3 linked regions of the Macaca fascicularis genome follow. The protein of the gene in region 1 purifies or fractionates together with the protein of each later gene. This does not show direct contact. Links are inferred from orthologs where the notes say so. Each region holds a gene or a part of one and is shown in the gene's direction. Other genes may lie near its edges. The genes, in order: FBXW7, MTOR and KDM6A.

The links.
Region 2: the proteins of FBXW7 (region 1) and MTOR purify together in Homo sapiens (affinity purification with western blotting; 9 studies listed by BioGRID and IntAct, with this or other methods). This does not show direct contact. The link is inferred for Macaca fascicularis from reciprocal best matches to the Homo sapiens genes FBXW7 and MTOR.
Region 3: the proteins of FBXW7 (region 1) and KDM6A purify together in Homo sapiens (affinity purification with mass spectrometry; 3 studies listed by BioGRID and IntAct, with this or other methods). This does not show direct contact. The link is inferred for Macaca fascicularis from reciprocal best matches to the Homo sapiens genes FBXW7 and KDM6A.

What each region holds. Positions count from the first base shown.
Region 1 is NC_088379.1:157,446,752-157,450,496, reverse strand, and holds the start of FBXW7 (F-box/WD repeat-containing protein 7), read left to right. Parts: upstream 1-1,191; 5' UTR 1,192-2,350; intron 2,351-3,745. UniProt on the Homo sapiens protein: Substrate recognition component of a SCF (SKP1-CUL1-F-box protein) E3 ubiquitin-protein ligase complex which mediates the ubiquitination and subsequent proteasomal degradation of target proteins.
Region 2 is NC_088375.1:223,546,883-223,550,627, forward strand, and holds the start of MTOR (serine/threonine-protein kinase mTOR), read left to right. Parts: upstream 1-1,074; 5' UTR 1,075-1,170; intron 1,171-1,506; 5' UTR 1,507-1,599; intron 1,600-3,745. UniProt on the Homo sapiens protein: Serine/threonine protein kinase which is a central regulator of cellular metabolism, growth and survival in response to hormones, growth factors, nutrients, energy and stress signals.
Region 3 is NC_088395.1:44,930,933-44,934,677, forward strand, and holds the start of KDM6A (lysine-specific demethylase 6A), read left to right. Parts: upstream 1-1,263; 5' UTR 1,264-1,610; coding exon 1,611-1,771; intron 1,772-1,982; coding exon 1,983-2,046; intron 2,047-3,745. UniProt on the Homo sapiens protein: Histone demethylase that specifically demethylates 'Lys-27' of histone H3, thereby playing a central role in histone code. Demethylates trimethylated and dimethylated but not monomethylated H3 'Lys-27'.

The sequences.
Region 1 (3,745 bases):
CTGGTCCTTTTATCTTAAATTTCTTTTCCTAGAGAACTACACTTTAAACTTCATGAGTTTTTACTTGACTTTCCTTTCCAGGATAACATCTGTAGGAAAAGCTGCATAATAGTAATAACATTTATTTTAGAAAGAAAATAACCTTTGAGTCAGAACTGAAACACAGGCTAACATTTCTTGATGACAACGTACACTGATGAACCAAGATCAGAAGTTCTCGAAAGCCCCAAGCCATAAGAAAGAACCATTCGTAAAAGTGAGGCACTATTAAATTCTTCCCCTGACAGTTAAAAATCCTTCAACAATCTCCCAGAGGATGGCTCCCTTCCAATCCTCCCTTCCCGCCATCCTAACAATCTGCACGAGGATGGGTTCCTTCCTCTGCCCGGCATTTCGTCTCCTTGTCCACTAAAGACTCAGGTTGTGACTGTACTCAAGCCGCACCCCTGTTTCCTTTCACGGCTAGGAGGAGGGAAGGAATTTATTACAACTCATTTGTACAATGCACTGTAGTTTACAAAGCACTTGCACTTCCACCATATCCTCTGAGCTTCGTGAGTGCCACGTGAGAGAGGCATTCATTCATTCATTCATTCATCAAACATTTGCTCGTCCCGACCACACGTTATCCAACGCCGGGTCTCACCCCATGCCACGGGAAGGTTGGGGCGCTCTCTCCCTGGAGCAGGTGCAGCGGGTCAGGCTGTGCGGGAACTCCTCGATCAGTCCGGCTTTTCAAGGGTCTGGGGCCAAATGCCTCATCTTCGGGTGGTGCGTGCAGCTGTCTGAAGGCGCGGCCTGGGCCTCCTCTTTCCTCCCAAAGGAGCAGTCCCCACCTGCCCCGAAGGAAACCGCTACAGAGCAAGCTCTCCAGGCCGCCCTCGGGTCAGGGGTAAGATCGGGCGGCAGCTTAGGCTCGACTCGGCTCCTCCCCTTCCTCTCTTCAGTTCTGACGCGGCCGTAGAGGCGGCAGCGGCGGCGGCGGCTGCGAGTCCCGCGGCCCGAGGCGCACCCACCCGCTCGCCGATCCCCACTTCCTCTTCCCTTGGAGCGTCATCAGAGGGCGCCAGAGGCGCCCAGGGCGGGGTGGCTGGAAGGGTAAAAGAGGCCAGCGGAGGAAGCCTCAGAGCGGAAAGAAGAGGGAGGGGGAAGAGAGTGGTTGCTAGGTGACTTGCGTCATCGGCAGGCGCCGCTCTCCTCCCGCCCCTCTCTCTGGAGTGAGGCGAGAGCCCCGCACAGAGCGAGGCAGACAGCGAGCTGAGCTCCGGGCGCTGTCGCTGCTGCCGCCGCTGAGAGTGAGAGCGAAGGCGTATCCGAGAGACCCAGCCCCCCTGCACTGGCCGCCGAGACCTTCGCTCTCACCTGGGCCAGCGAGAGCCGCGGCCGCACTCCTCTCCCCCCCTCACCTTCCCGGCCGGCAGCGGCGGCTGCTGCACACGCCGGAGCCGGAGCCGGAGCCGGAGCCCGAGCCTGAGCCGGAGCCGGCGGCTTGGGGGGCAGGGAGGCGGCTACCACCGGCCGGGACTGGGTAGCTGCTCCGTGGTGAGAGAACGCTGAGGAGGCGCCGGAGCTTCTGCCTCGTCCCGGGGGGCCTGGGGCGAGAGACCCCCAAGGTGTAGGGAGGGGGGTCCCAGCCGCAGCGACACATGCGGGAGCCGGGAGCGGGGGCGGCGCCGAGCGGAGCCGGCCGGGTCCCTCGCCTCGCCGCCGCCTCGGCCACCCGCCCGGGGCCGTAGCATCTTGCCCCGGAGTGTATGAACCGGGGCCCCAACCAAGCTCGGCAACCACCCCCCGGCCGGGGGGGCGGGGACCCCGATGTGAAGCTGCGGCTGGGGCGGCGGAGAGAGCAGGACCGACGCCGCCGTCCTTTCCTCACCTTTCCCCTCCCCTCAGCCCCCTCCGGGGGTCTTCTCCCTTGGCCAGTCGCCGGCCCCCCGGCTCCTTGGCTGGACTCCGGGAGGAGTTCTTAGAGCCCCCCTCCCCCGCCCCAGTCCCGAGGGCGGCGGGGCCGGGGGGGACCCGGGGGGCCGGCTGCAGCCTCCACCCAGAGGAAACTTTACAAAAACAAAATTCGGAGTCTCCCAAACCTGACTGTCCCGGGAGAAGTGGCCCTGGACGGGCAGAAGCCGCAGCCTGAAAAGACCCAGGAAGAGGAAAAGAGGAGGTAAGCGGGGCCGCCGCCTCCTCTCCCCTGGCAGCACGGAAGAGACCCGGGTGGCCGCCTGGTTTAGCGACACGAGCACCGCTTCAACCTCAGTACCGCGCCGGAGCCTTCCGCAGCTGCCGCCTCAGTCCGAAGGAGGAAGGGAACCAACTCACTTTCTCGGCGCCGCGGCTCTTCTCTAAAAGTGTGAGTGGCCCCGGGAGAGGGGATTTAGGGGGAGAAAGTGGGAGGATGCCGGCGCTTCCTCCTGGAGTTTTGCTGATGTTCTCCAGTAGTGTTGGGAGTCTGTCAATGAGAGGGTCTAGCTTTATTCACAGAGGGGGAAAGGTGTTAGAGAGGCCTGTATTTTGTGACTTTTTAGCTCTTTGTACGAGTAATGCAAGTATGCAGGTTTTACTTGGAGGAGTTCTTTCTCCAGAGTGAATACTCGCACCTTTCTGGCCAGTAGTTGGCAAAGGGAAATTGAGGAAGCCAGAGCATATGTGCGCACAGAGGCCGTCTGTATCTGTAAACTTTTCCTGGTACTGTGGGTGTGTGCGGTTTACGTTTTGTTTCTGGGGTACTCTCATATAGGTTCCCGAGTGAGAACCACTTACCCTGTGGACCCCTGAAAGTAAAATTCCTTTGTTTTTTTTTTTAAACAAAACAAAACCAAAAGCCAGTCCTGAGAGAGGTTCATTTCAGTACCTATTGGTACAGGAGTTAAGCTTCTCAGTTCCTGGATCCAATTCATGTGTGTTAGTAGGACACTGTAACAGATGTCAGTTATTCAGGAACTTGAGTTCTCAGGAATCACAACTTTTTTGGGGAAGAGCATTTATCACATTAATCATTTTATAAAAGTTGTGATTTTTTTTCCCTTCACCCCCCCCTTTTTTTTTTTAGAGTAACAAATGACAACACTTTTTTATTTGGTTTGAGGACTTTTTTATTTGGTTTGAGGCTTTGCTCTTTTGAATTATCTTTATTTCTGTATCAATTTAGGATACACCTTTGATATTTAAGTCAGGAATGATTTTTTCTTTCCATTATTTTAAAGTTGAAGTTTATAAAACCTTTGACTTGTATTTTAGGTATCTTGTCAGAGTGCCAAGTTAAAGGTTCATAAAAGTAATTAACATTTCATATACAGACCTTAAGGGTTAAACATAGAGCAGGATTTTATGTAGGAAGGCATAGGCAGTACTATACTGAGAATTGTGGTCCATCTAGACAACTGTGGGCTCGTTCTGTCTGAAGCCACTGCTGAGAGATGCTTTGTGGGAATGAATGTAAGCCTGGGATTATCTCTCTATTCGAAGTTCTCCATTCAGGATCTTGATTAGATTAATTTAAAACTTTCTCAAACTTAACAATGTTTGTTTTTTTTTAAAGTAATGAGTTCTGCAAGTTTATTAGCCTGTGTATTATGTGACAATTCATTTACATATTCTGTACCTGTGTCCCTAAATTTTCAGGACACAGAGTTTATATTTCAAGAAATACCAGGACAAGCCTCAGTTTATCTTTTCTTAATTTTATAGACTTTCATTATTTCTACTGTCATTTTCTCCAACTCTTGTCTTAGAATAATGTCTTTCA
Region 2 (3,745 bases), on another chromosome or scaffold:
AAGCGATCCTCGTGCCTCAGCCTCCCAAAGTGCTGGGATTACAGGCGTGGGCCACTGTGACCAGCAGCTATTTATTTTCCTTGGTATGTATGTATGTATGTATGTATGCATGCATGCATGCATGTATGTATTCATTGAGACGGAGATTTCTCAGTCGCCCAGGCTGGAGTGCAGTGGCACGATCTCAGCTCACTACAACCTTTGCTTCCCGGGTTCAGGCGATTCTCGTGCCTCAGCCTCCCGAGTACCTGGGATTACAGGCGTGCGCCACAATGCCCACCTAATTTTTGTATTTTTAGTAGAGACGCGGGAGAGTTTCACCATGTTGGCCAGGCTGGTCTCGACTCCTCCTGACCTTAAGTGATCCGCCCGCCTCGGCCTCCCAAAGTGCTGGGATTACGGGCGTGAGCCACCGCGCCGGGCCAGCTATTGATTTTTGAAACGATTAAAAAAATATAATGTTTCTTTGAAACTTTTTATTTATGAGTAGCTCTTTTGGTTAAAACTTGGCTATGGTTTCTCTGGAATGATCCTGAATTGGATAATTTTGGGAAAGTGAGAAAATCTAATTAAAAACATTTTCAAATGCTTATTAAATGTAACAAAAGAGAAATCATAGGATCCATAAAGAGCGCTAGCCCGAAACGTCTTCTGATGCAGTAATTCCTGGGCGCCAGCATTGCTCACACTCTCCTCTCAGAATTACACCGGGAGGGGTCGCGAACCTCTGCTAGCCGCTCTTGGTGCGATCCGGAGGTACCCAGACAGCGGACTCCCTGAGTTCACAGCCCGGATGCAGAGGGGAATCCTAGCAGCGCCGCACCGGATGTATGAGTGGAAGTGACTGAGGTCAACTCACGACCGATTGGTTCTCCCGAGTGGACCCAAGCCTGTTTTCAGCTGTCACTGGCCGCGTGGTTTGTCTATTTGAATAGTCCCCGCCCCCTGGAGAAGCCGGGTCCTGAAGCTTCACTTCTTCTTCATTACTATTGGCCTGTTTTTCAGTCCATCTTCTTCCTGTACGTGTCGATTGGTCCTCAGGGCTAGGAACCCTCCTTCCCTCGCTCCCGGTTTAGAGGACAGCGGGGAAGGCGGGCGGTGGGGCAGGGGGCCTGAGGCGGCGGTAGCGGTGCTGGCGGCGGCAGCTGAGGCCTTGGCCGAAGCCGCACGGTGAGTCTAGGGCCTGGAACGACCCCTCTGAGGCGGCGTAATGTCCAGACCTACGGCCAACCTGCCCGTGGGGGGGCAGGGGAAGCCGCCCGTCTGGGACGTGGGGTCCCCACACTGCCGGCCCCACGACCTGGGCATCGTCTGAGCCCTTGAGTCCCACCCCTCGAGGCAACGCCCACCTCCCCGGGACCCCCAAGAGACCCCTGCACCCTTCGGCCCGCGGTACGTCCCCCGAAGGCCGGTCCATCAGCTCTGGTACTGCCCTTTGGGTCTTTTGCCCGTTACAGCCACCCTTTTTTCTGAGCCACGTACAAAAATTTTGTATCTCTGCCCCAGGGAACACCAGCGTCCGTGTCAGCCCCTTATCCTCCACCGTGGACACTTCTCAGAGACCCAGTCACCGAAACTGAGCTCGGTTACATCGTTGGGGTACATCCTCTCGCCTTCTCCCCCAGCCCCATCCCTGTTTCTCCCATCCAATTTTAACTTACTTAAGCCCTATCAAGACCCTTAGGATGTTTGACTTCAGATATCCTAAGTTTAATTGAATTCAGCCTGGAGCAGATGGCCTGTGGGCCTCAGACCGTATGAAGTTACACTGGTTCTTTCCTGAGCCTTTCCTTGCTAGCCTCCTTCCCCCCTTTCATACACACACACATACACACAAACTGGAGTAGTTTTCTTAGTAGGGATTCTTAAGTTTCTTCTCCCCTAAAGGATGACATTTCTTTCTGCAGTCTTCTTCTTGGCACTGGAGTATTTGAAAGCTTTTCAAAACCAATTATTCCCTGTTTTTCCTCTGTGCCTTACAAATTGGTTCAAAAATAAGAATTTTGAGAAATTGGTTTTGTAGCATAAGCTGAACATACTTAGGATAGGTATATGTTCCACCCATAGCAGTGTGGGCATAATTGAGGAATGAAGGAATGATCTCAGAAACTAATTGGTTTCTTTTAGCTTACATTTGAAGTGCTAGTCCCCTGTAGAACTGCATTGTTCAGTACAAGAACCACCAGCCACATGTGGCTGTAGAACACTTGAAATGTGACTAGTTCAGGTGGCTCACACCTGTAATCCCAGCACTTTGGGAGGCCAAGGCGGGTGGATCACCTGAGGTCAGGAATTTGAGACCAGCCTAGCCAACATGATGAAACCCCATCTCTACTAAAAATACAAAAAAAAATTAGCCAGGTGTGGTGCTGCACATATGTAGTCCCAGCTACTTGGGAAGCTGAAGCAGGAGAATCATTTGAACCCAGGAGGTGGAGGTTGCAGTGAGCCAAGATCACGCCACTGCACTCCAGCCTGGGTGACGGAGAGCAAGACTCTGTCTCAAAAAATAAATAAAAGTGACTAGTCCAGATTGACATTGTCGTAAGTGTAAAATGCACATTAGATTTTGAAGACTCGCTACAAAAAAAGAATGGACACTATATCAATTTTTAAAATATTGATAACATGTTGAAATGATATTTTGGATATATTAGTTTAAGTAATTAATTTCACCTGTTTCTTTTCACCTTTTAAAATATGGCTACCAGCAGCTTTAAAATTACATTTGTGGATCACTGTATTTCCTTTTTTTTTTTTTTTTTTCAATTGGGATGGAGTTTTGCTCTTGTCGCCCAGGCTGCAGTGCAATGGCGCAATCTTGGCTCACTGCAACCTCCGCCTCCTGGGTTCAAGTGATTCTCCTGCCTCAACCTCCCAAGTAGCTGGGATTACAGGCACGCACTGCCATGCCTGGCTAATTTTGTATTTTTGGTAGAGATGGAGTTTCACCATATTCCCCAGGCTGGTCTCAAACTCCTGACCTCAGGTGATCTGCCTGCCTTGGCCTCCCGAAGTGCTGGGATTACAGGCGTGAGGCACTGTGCCTGGCCTATATTTCTATTAGACAATGCTGCTGTGGAATAATAATCTCTCTTTTTAGACTGAACTTGAGCAAAGGGGCAGTCTTAGTCATTTTTGATTCTTTCCCTACCTCCCCACATTTGTTACCTGGCACTGTGCCGTGTACATAGTAGTAGTAGTAATAATAATAGCTAACAATTATTAAGAACTCAGTATATGCCCTGCACTGTTTTAAATACTTTTTGACATGTATTAACTCATTTAGTCCTCACATCAACCCATGAACTAGGTACTATTATCTTCCTATTGTAGTTGAAGAAACATTTTTAGTGTCTTTCTCAAGGTATATAACCTTGTTTTTGTTTTCGTTTGTTTTTGTTTGAGACAGTGGAGTGGCAGGATCTTGGCTCAGGGCAACCTCCCGTCCCAGGTTCAAGTGATTCTCCTGCCTCAGCCTCCCGGGTGGCACATGCCACTACGCCCAGCTAAGTTTTGTATTTTTAGTAGAGATGGGATTTCACCATGTTGGCCAGGCTGGTTTCGAACTCCTGACCTCAGGTGGTCCTCCTGACTCGGCCTCCAAAACTGCTCAAGGTATCTAACCCAAGGATTCAAACCCAAGTAGGCTAGCTCCCATAGCCCGCAATTTGACCCTCCCTACCACACTGCCTCTTTTAAACATCAGTCATTGTTTAATGAATCTAGGCTTTCTAAATGTTCC
Region 3 (3,745 bases), on another chromosome or scaffold:
AAATAAATTTGCCTTTTGAGAAGAGTAGTCGAAAGGCCTGTTTTCTTTTTTTTTTTCCACTTATACTAAAGATTAAAAGCCAGACTACAGCCTTTCCCCTGCACCTGAGAGACAGAACAAAGTGTTACTGTTGTCTAGGGGTTACAAACCTGCAGGTTTTGGGGGATAGAAAGGCTTTCCTGGGCCACCAGCTGTGATGAGGATTTAATTATGTCTTCTCTCAGGTCTGTCCACAAGCAGTCCCTACTTTTGTAAGAAGGCTCCACTGAAATCACGGCAATAGAACCCAACATTCTGCAGATCCCGCTTAACAATTTCTCATTGCTTTTTCTTGTAAGACTGTAATGAACTACTGATAAGACACAGGGTAAACACAGCACGAAAATCTGGCCCCAAAGTGCCGCCAACAGACAGACCTTTGGCGGTGGGGAGCCACGGTCGGCAAGCCAGGCCCCGCGGGCGACTCTTCATTCCCTCCGGCCTGGGGCGTATGGGCGGGGGTCAGGGGAGCCTTTCCCCCTTCACTTTCGGCGCGGGTGAGGTGGTCGGGGCTGCCAGCGTAGGTCTGGCCTAGGGCGGCACCCGGACCGCGGGGCACCGGGCCGGCAGCCGCTCCCCAAGCGCACTCCTCGCGGAGGCCATTATTTCCAGCAGTGCCAAAGTCTGAGCCTTCTTCGGAGGGCAGAGGTAGAGGGCCGTGTACCGCCTCCCGGCTACGCGACCTGTACCAGGCCCTGTGGGGTCCCGGGACCCCTGGAGCGCGCGCGGGACGGCCGGAGCCGCGGTCTGGGCACATCCCAGAGCTCCCAGGCAGGCAAAGGCCGTCCTTGGCATCTTCGCCCGCCGCTCGCGCCCGCCGCGGGCGCTGCCGGACCTCGCCCTTCCCCACCACTCCCCTCCCCCTCCAAAGCCTGCCGTGGTTCCCGAGGTGACACGGCCCGGACCCTCCATTCTCTGCCCCAGTGTATTTAACCAGCACAACCTAACAGGAAGCTCCCTCTCGGTGACAACCCTTCCCCCGACAGACGCGCCCAGCAGCCAACCACCGGCCAGAATTGGCCTGCGTCCCGCTCCCCTCTCGGTGGCGGCCTCGGTGGGCGGGGCTCGGGCAGCTAGCAAGTTAAGTGGAGCCACGGCTGACGTGAGTCAACAAAGGTCACGTGAGTCGTGCGGGCCGCGCCGATTGGTGGCGCCAGTCGGGCGGGGAGGGGGGGTCACGGCGGCGGCGTGGGGTTCGCTGTGTGACACAATTACAACAACTTTGTGCTGGTGCCGGGGAAGTTTGTGTCTCCAACGAATCCCCCCAGTGCTCCCCAGCCCTGCGCGCTCCGGCCGTTCCCGCCGTCCCCGCCCGTGGCTGCCCCTTGCCCAACCCCGCGATGTGACCCTACAGCCGAAAGCCGCCGCTGCCGACCCGGGGGCTTCGCAGCCCCTGCCGCCGCCGCCTTCACCGCCGCCGCGTTGGGATTTTTCGTCGCCGCCGCCCGCGGCGGAGGAGGAGGCGGCGATAAAGTTGGTGTGCTGGTCCCGCGCGCAGATTGGGGGCGTCATTGCGGGCCCCGGTCCGAGGGGGGGTGTCGGCGTTGGAGTTGTGAATTCGCTGCGTTTCCATGAAATCCTGCGGAGTGTCGCTCGCTACCGCCGCCGCTGCCGCCGCCGCTTTCGGTGATGAGGAAAAGAAAATGGCGGCGGGAAAAGCGAGCGGCGAGAGCGAGGAGGCGTCCCCCAGCCTGACAGCCGAGGAGAGGGAGGCGCTCGGCGGACTGGACAGGTACGGGCCGCCGTCACTCGCCCGGTCGGCTCCGGACGGGCAGTAGCCGCTCTCCCGGGAGGCCCGAGCGCGGCTTGTCTCTGGCGGCGGCGGGGCGGGCACCTCGGTTTGGCGCTCTTCGCGCCGCCTCCGCCGGGGCCTCGGGCTCGGGCAGGGACGGGTCGGTGGCGTTCCCGGAGCGTTAACGAGTAGCCTGTGTCTCTCCCCACAGCCGCCTCTTCGGGTTCGTGAGGTTTCATGAAGATGGCGCCAGGACGAAGGCCCTACTGGGCAAGGTAAGGCAGCTGCGAGTCGGAGCGCGGACACCGTCTCCCCGGCCGGCGCCGCGCTCGCCCCGGGCCCCGCGGCCGGGTCTGCGCTCATTGTGGCCGCGGACGATGGTCGAGGGGCTTCCGGAAAACTATTTCCTGCCTCTGCTCTCCCCCCACCCACGGGTACCCAGCTTGCTCCCTTGCTAAATTGCTCTTTTCCTCTTGTAGCTGGAGGAACAGAGACGGGATCGCTTTGGGGCCGGGCTCAACTGGGTCGACAAAACTGCCTGCTATTTTACAGCTTTTTGGGGATAGGCCGATGATCTTCGACGTGCATGTTTAGAGTCAAGGGATCGTGAATGTGTTCAGATTTCCCCCAATTCCGGACTTCACTTGCCTCTCACGGGTTTAAAGAAATTCTTTTCCTTCAAGCAGGCTGTTCGTGATGCCTACTGCTAACCAAATGTTTTAGGCTTTCTTGTGTCCCCGCTCCCAGAAGGGGGAAGTTTCACGGAGTTTAGGTCGGTGAAGAGTTTGCATTGGGCTGTTGACATGTATCTCGATCGCAATGTGTGTTACCTGAAGTTAGGTGACTTGTTTACTTTTTGGGTCTTTTTGGCATAGAAATACCGTAGTTATTTGTAAATGTGTTCTCTTCCTGGAGCCTCATTTCCTGCGTGTCTGACAGGGGAGACTGGGGAGGAATCGGGGTGTAGTCTCTGTTTATTTGTGTGGAAAGTTGTTGGCACTGTCATTTAGTTAAGTAATGGCTGCTCCTATCGGCCCAAGATGGCGGGACAGGGTGGGAGGAGAAAGTGAAGGGGGGGGGGTTTGGGGGAGGGAGTAGAGGTAAACATGGAAATAAATAGTAGCCGTGAATAAGCCTTTCCTTCGGAGTGTGTAGCTCAGTGGTGTTTAAAAAAAAATTACCCAAGATTATTTGCATATAGAATTCTTGTACCTTTCACAAGCTTGGAAGCAGCATGCATAAGCCTGGTAAATGCTTATCAACCTGTAGCACATTTAGTTACCCATCCTTAAGCTATTGAACAAAGGCTGGAGTCTCAGTCTCTAGGCATCAATTTATATTTCCTGACCAAAATCTGATTGCAATGATATTTGAATACTTTCTTCGTAATTGGGACCGTGAAAGTTGGAGTGTGTGCTATGGGTGTTGCATCCGTTAGACATTTTCTTTTCTAGCTGAAATCATAGCTTTGCATTTGACACCTAGCTTTATTGTTACAGTTGAGACGGAAGTTTGAAGTAAGTCCAACATTTTATTCTTAAGTTGATTTTTTTGTTGTTCTGAATTTTTGTCTGTAGCTTGGTTTAGCAGAGTCATCAATTCTTTTTTATCTGTAATTACAAATTTGTTTTTATTTCCAAGTAATTATAAGGAGTTTTATTGCATATAATGATCAGAAAACTAAATGGAAATAATGCTTTTCAGTAAGCCCGGCCCCTTTGACCGATACAGAAAACTTGAATTAAACTTTGACTACATAGGTATTAATTGGCTTCATTGCAATTATTGTTGTAAAAATGAACAGTGACTAGCTCTGGAAAGATTTAAGCGTCAGTAATTGTTGGTCTCCTGCCTTAAAAGTTTTTTTTCCCAATTTGAGTATTTAAAGTATTTTATTTAAAAATATTTGACTGCTGTCAAAGTTGTCATTACAAAAGATTAAACATGATTTAAATTCAAAGAGCATTATTTTGT